2 linked regions of the Saccharomyces cerevisiae S288C genome follow. Changing the gene in region 1 together with any one later gene gives a genetic interaction. Each region holds a gene or a part of one and is shown on either strand. Other genes may lie near its edges.

Evidence for each region.
Region 2: mutations in TMA10 (region 1) and SAM2 together harm fitness more than expected from each alone (negative genetic interaction), as found in Saccharomyces cerevisiae (one large-scale study listed by BioGRID).

Annotation. Positions count from the first base shown.
Region 1 is NC_001144.5:782,480-785,538, forward strand, and holds TMA10 (Tma10p), read right to left. Parts: upstream 909-3,059; coding exon 648-908; downstream 1-647. Other genes in the region: YLR326W (uncharacterized protein), read left to right, coding at 1-417; nicotinamide-nucleotide adenylyltransferase NMA1, read left to right, coding at 2,434-3,059. UniProt on the Saccharomyces cerevisiae protein: May be involved in inhibition of the reverse ATPase reaction of mitochondrial F(1)F(0)-type ATP synthase.
Region 2 is NC_001136.10:1,452,792-1,456,446, reverse strand, and holds SAM2 (methionine adenosyltransferase SAM2), read left to right. Parts: upstream 1-1,982; coding exon 1,983-3,137; downstream 3,138-3,655. Other genes in the region: SPG3 (Spg3p), read left to right, coding at 1-136; phosphatidate phosphatase LPP1, read left to right, coding at 581-1,405; PLM2 (Plm2p), read right to left, coding at 3,529-3,655. UniProt on the Saccharomyces cerevisiae protein: Catalyzes the formation of S-adenosylmethionine from methionine and ATP. The reaction comprises two steps that are both catalyzed by the same enzyme: formation of S-adenosylmethionine (AdoMet) and triphosphate, and subsequent hydrolysis of the triphosphate.

The sequences.
Region 1 (3,059 bases):
ATGTATTGGGTGCATGATAAGTTGATTGAATTGGCAGATGACAGGTATAAATTGCCTGCGGAAATCAAGGTGAAGATGCATGGTAATATCGTTATCGATTTACTTATTAGTTTAGTTCCTATTCTGGGAAGTGTTTTTGCATGGTTGCACGCATGTTCCACGAGAAACGCAGCTATAGTTTACAATTTTGTTGGAAAAAGGGCATTGGAAAGAAAGCAAGCGGAGCTCATGCATCAAAAAGAAGAAAATGAGAAACATTCCAATGCCAATACTGCACCTCCAGTAGTTGGTGGCAACAAAAATGTGAATGGAAACAGAAATAATAGTAAAATGTATAACAGACCGCCTGTGACAGCTCCACCTGCACCAGCATACACGCGCAGTACTAACGGTCGCCCCCAAAGAGGTTACAGGTGAACAAACCGGCCACGGTAAGGCTACATTCTTATCAACAAATATGGGCAATCAAAAACTTATAATGTAAATTTTATTTTTTATCGTAAACATGTATTTAAGAAGTAATATAAAGGATGTTTGACATGATCATTTTATATATGCATACACGTTATTGAAGTTATATGGTCGTTAAATCATTAAAAGGCCCGTTTCTTTGAAATATGCTAACGGAATCAAACCGGTCGGGTCGGTTAGATGTGGTATTGTTGCAAATCAGAAAGCCTTCTTTCATTGTTTTGGGAGTTAGAGCCCCTTCTGGTCTTGTTGAAGACTGTCTTAATTTCGCCAGAATCGATTAAGTCATTAATCTCATCGCCAGGCTTGCCCCAATTGCCTTTCCCATAGCCTCCTCTCTTGACGTGGTTGGGAGACTCCCCAAAGTTGCCGTTATGGGTGAAATACTTTGGGTTAGACTTTGCTTCGTGGACTGTCCATTTGCTAGTTCTGGTCATGTTTGAATTGTGTTTGTGTTAGAAATTTGTGTGCTTTAATGTTATGTTATAATGAAATCTTATTAGATTTATTTAACGTTTTTGCTGTGCTTATAATAAACATTACATAATAAAAGGAGTAGAAGAAAGTGGTAGAGAGGAGTACAAATCTACCTGCCAGAACTCTCTCCTTATATATATTTCCAGTGGTGTCTGGATTACCTACCTCAAGCCATACCATATCCATACCATATCCATAAACGCCTACAAAATTTCTACCCCAATCCAGCAGCTTCTATCACTATCTCGTATACCACCATAGGCACCACCACTGTTTGTGTAAATTTACTCCTGAGGGGGGGGTGGCTCAACACGGTGTAGGCCTTCTTCCCGCACAATCCGATGAAACCCCACAATCGCCTCCGTCTCTTCCACTGTGCACGGCGCTAGCTCAACATCTTCCCCGCCACATTTACTGTGGCAAAGAAGGTGCATAATCTAAAAAAACATACGTATGAGAATGGAAAGGGCAAGATAATATCGGACCGTAGTGAGTCACTTGCTTTTGGTATTGCAACCAACTGCCGCCCCTCTTCCCGCTCTTGCACCAAAACGCTAAATGCCCATTGTGATGGCTCATCCACCCTCACGACGAAGTAAGACCCGGGGCACAAGAAAATACGAGATCATAACAGTTCGAGTCCGTTTATTGTGTGCGGTTTTGGTACGCTTTTTCGTGAGGTGTACTACCATTCATGAGAGTCGTTTTAGGAGCTGTCATGAAAGATATGTATCTTGTTGATGAACTGTAAAAATTTGCAGAAATTGCGCTATTCCGTTTATTTCATTGTCGATTCGGTGTTAATATTAGGGGTACAAAATATACTAGAAGTTCTCCCTCGAGGATATAGGAATGCGCAAATGGGCATTTGATGTGACACAAAATTTGGACAATATAACGATTCATTTTTAGATCGTTGTTCAACCGTCCCAGTGGCCGAGTGGTTAAGGCGATGCCTGCTATTTCCTCAGAAAAGCAATTAGGCATTGGGTTTTACCTGCGCAGGTTCGAATCCTGTCTGTGACGCTTTTTTTAATTTCTTTACTCCATGACAAAAGCGGATAAAAATTCCCGCATTCGGCGTAAAAAAATCCGGTTTTTTTTTTAGCACTCGCTGTTTTTGCCTCTACCGGGTGAAAAATGACGATGAAGACGGCTGGAATTGCGCTGCATCCGCTTACGTAGGATAGAACACCTACAAAGATTTACGAACTTTATTGCTCGAAGATTCGCTATCCATATCTTTTTAGTTTCCCCCCATTTCACAATGGGATACCGTTGTTTTTTCTGTAGGTACGCTTTCTCATAGTTAATAGAGTCAGTAATTCATTTCATTTTTTGCAGAAAGGAATTTCTTCACCTAATTTAGAATTTCATCAACATTTATTGTATCTGCATGGTATAACAAATTAGAAAAATTTGGAAGGGAAAAAAAAACTGTTGCGTCAATTACTTATACCAGGGATAGAAAAAAAAAAAGGAAACATGGATCCCACAAGAGCTCCGGATTTCAAACCGCCATCTGCAGACGAGGAATTGATTCCTCCACCCGACCCGGAATCTAAAATTCCCAAATCTATTCCAATTATTCCATACGTCTTAGCCGATGCGAATTCCTCTATAGATGCACCTTTTAATATTAAGAGGAAGAAAAAGCATCCTAAGCATCATCATCACCATCATCACAGTCGTAAAGAAGGCAATGATAAAAAACATCAGCATATTCCATTGAACCAAGACGACTTTCAACCACTTTCCGCAGAAGTGTCTTCCGAAGATGATGACGCGGATTTTAGATCCAAGGAGAGATACGGTTCAGATTCAACCACAGAATCAGAAACTAGAGGTGTTCAGAAATATCAGATTGCTGATTTAGAAGAAGTTCCACATGGAATCGTTCGTCAAGCAAGAACCTTGGAAGACTACGAATTCCCCTCACACAGATTATCGAAAAAATTACTGGATCCAAATAAACTGCCGTTAGTAATAGTAGCATGTGGGTCTTTTTCACCAATCACCTACTTGCATCTAAGAATGTTTGAAATGGCTTTAGATGCAATCTCTGAACAAACAAGGTTTGAAGTCATAGGTGGATATTACTCCCCTGTTAG
Region 2 (3,655 bases), on another chromosome or scaffold:
ATATGAAAACTTCACAGGGAGAAATAGAAGAAAATGTTCATTATTCTGTTTAACTTTGATAAAAATTACTTATACGTCTCCCAATCATGGTTTCATGGTCACTGGTAAGGAAAAATTCGAAAAACTACGGGACTAAAAATTTTTTAAAGATTGTCCATATTCCTCGATCCACACTTTCAAGTTTGAGATTTATTGTTGGCAACTTTCTTACATTTTTGTTGTTTCAACTTCTATTTTATATTCTAACAGCCGCTTCCATTTATTTTTCATAGGCTTTATATAAAAAACAAAAAATAATGGAATCAACCAACCCTTATAAACTTATATGTAGTTTACATTTAATCAAGGTCTGTTATCGTGGCTATTGCTCTAATTCATTATTTGTCGACATGTATTGGTTGATAATTTTTGTTTTGGTTCACGCGTAAGAATTTTTTTTCTTGTAGTTGCCACGTGAAACCTGACAACTTATAGTCTTTAAGGGAAGAAAGAAAGCCATTCTTTGAAGTGATTTTACTGCTTTCAAGAGTGAGAAACTCCTACATCAACGCCTAAGGAAACTCGTCATATTCTACCAAGGATGATCTCTGTCATGGCGGATGAGAAACATAAGGAGTATTTTAAGCTATACTACTTTCAGTACATGATAATTGGTCTATGTACGATATTATTCCTCTATTCGGAGATATCCCTGGTACCTAGGGGCCAAAACATCGAATTTAGTCTTGATGACCCCAGTATATCAAAACGTTATGTACCTAACGAACTCGTGGGCCCACTAGAATGTTTGATTTTGAGTGTTGGACTGAGTAACATGGTCGTCTTCTGGACCTGCATGTTTGACAAGGACTTACTGAAGAAGAATAGAGTAAAGAGACTAAGAGAGAGGCCGGACGGAATCTCGAACGATTTTCACTTCATGCATACTAGCATTCTATGTCTGATGCTGATTATAAGCATAAATGCTGCCCTAACAGGCGCCTTAAAGTTGATTATAGGAAACTTGAGGCCTGACTTTGTTGATAGATGTATACCTGACCTCCAAAAGATGAGTGATTCAGATTCTTTGGTTTTTGGCTTGGACATTTGCAAGCAGACTAACAAATGGATTCTATACGAAGGCTTAAAAAGCACTCCAAGCGGACATTCAAGTTTCATAGTCAGTACCATGGGCTTTACATATCTTTGGCAAAGGGTTTTCACCACACGCAATACAAGAAGTTGCATTTGGTGCCCTTTATTAGCTCTAGTAGTAATGGTTTCAAGGGTTATCGATCACAGACATCATTGGTACGATGTTGTCTCTGGAGCTGTTCTAGCATTTTTAGTCATTTATTGTTGCTGGAAATGGACATTTACAAACTTGGCGAAAAGAGACATACTTCCTTCACCGGTTAGTGTTTAGTAACACTTACAGAGTCCTATCAGGAAAGAATAAAAGCCGATCAAGCTTCATTCTCAGGTAACAACTGGAGCACTGGCGAGCTTTGCTCTATTATATAAGATAAAATATGCACTAAAAGTTTGCATTTCTTTACATAACTAAAACTAAGACATTATGCATAGCTTACCTGATCAAAAAGTATGTAAACTTGTTAACATCTTCACATGTGATTCATCTGGTCGTACTTTCTTGCGGTGCAGTGTAATATTTCTACCCACGTGACTATAATTGAGCTTGAAAACTGTGGCGTTTTTCCACCGATGGGTCCACGCCAGATATTAACCGAAGCCAAAATACCGATGAAATTTCTGAGATAGCTCTTGTAAACGACGTCAAATCTTCATATGCAAGGAGATCTTGATTTCTTTTTGGTAGTCATCTGTCGTCTTGAGGCGTATAAGAAGGAGGTTATATCTGTCCTTTCTACAAAGTATTTTCGAGAATCTTGCTTCTGCCCCTTTTTTCTTTTTTTAAAAGGTTTAAAAAACATAACTGTCTTCAATATATCCAGTATTTACGACAATATACAAACATAATCATGTCCAAGAGCAAAACTTTCTTATTTACCTCTGAATCCGTCGGTGAAGGTCACCCAGACAAGATTTGTGACCAAGTTTCTGATGCTATTTTGGACGCTTGTTTAGAACAAGATCCATTCTCCAAGGTTGCCTGTGAAACAGCTGCCAAAACTGGTATGATTATGGTTTTCGGTGAAATTACCACCAAAGCTAGACTTGACTACCAACAAATAGTAAGAGATACCATCAAGAAGATTGGTTATGACGATTCTGCCAAGGGTTTCGACTACAAGACATGTAATGTTTTAGTAGCTATCGAACAACAATCTCCAGATATCGCTCAAGGTCTGCACTATGAAAAGAGCTTAGAAGACTTAGGTGCTGGTGACCAAGGTATAATGTTTGGTTACGCTACAGACGAAACTCCAGAAGGGTTACCATTGACCATTCTTTTGGCTCACAAATTGAACATGGCTATGGCAGATGCTAGAAGAGATGGTTCTCTCCCATGGTTGAGACCAGACACAAAGACTCAAGTCACTGTCGAATACGAAGACGACAATGGTAGATGGGTTCCAAAGAGGATAGATACCGTTGTTATTTCTGCTCAACATGCTGATGAAATTTCCACCGCTGACTTGAGAACTCAACTTCAAAAAGATATTGTTGAAAAGGTCATACCAAAGGATATGTTAGACGAAAATACCAAATATTTCATCCAACCATCCGGTAGATTCGTCATCGGTGGTCCTCAAGGTGACGCTGGTTTGACCGGTAGAAAGATTATTGTCGACGCTTACGGTGGTGCCTCATCCGTCGGTGGTGGTGCCTTCTCCGGTAAGGACTATTCCAAGGTCGATCGTTCCGCTGCTTACGCTGCTAGATGGGTTGCCAAGTCTCTAGTTGCCGCTGGTTTGTGTAAGAGAGTCCAAGTCCAATTTTCATATGCTATTGGTATTGCTGAACCATTGTCTTTACATGTGGACACCTATGGTACAGCTACAAAATCAGATGACGAAATCATTGAAATTATTAAGAAGAACTTCGACTTGAGACCAGGTGTGTTAGTAAAGGAATTAGATTTGGCTAGACCAATTTACTTACCAACCGCTTCTTATGGTCACTTCACTAATCAAGAGTACTCATGGGAAAAACCAAAGAAATTGGAATTTTAAACATTTAGACAATAAATGTTTTATTTTGATTTTTATAATTATTTCAATCCCTTTCTTTATGCTAGGCTGGTCCCGATCACCTCCCTATATTGAGAAGACGATGCCTTATCGTTTGATTCGCTCAACTCGAGTCATGTAATTACTAGAAAATGATACAATAGAAAAGTTTTAAACATTCTTAAACTTGACAAACACCAATAGAATAACATCTAGGCATAATGATCTATTTTGTATGGATTATGTATTAGCTCCTTCAACGGAAATATATAGAAAATATTACTTTATGTTTTTAGAACTTTTTGACGAGTTTTACCAGTTTTTTTCATGATGCTCCACGTGGTAATATGACTATGCTATGGAAATAAGGTTGAAATATAGAATGTCTTTGAGGTTATTTGGTCGGCCTCTTCCAGAAATACTGTTTATGTTTCTTCCTGCACGACCTTAATCGGCTCCTGCCTTTTAACGAATTATACAAAATCTTTCTCTCGTCGCTATCATCGTTTTCAACATCATAG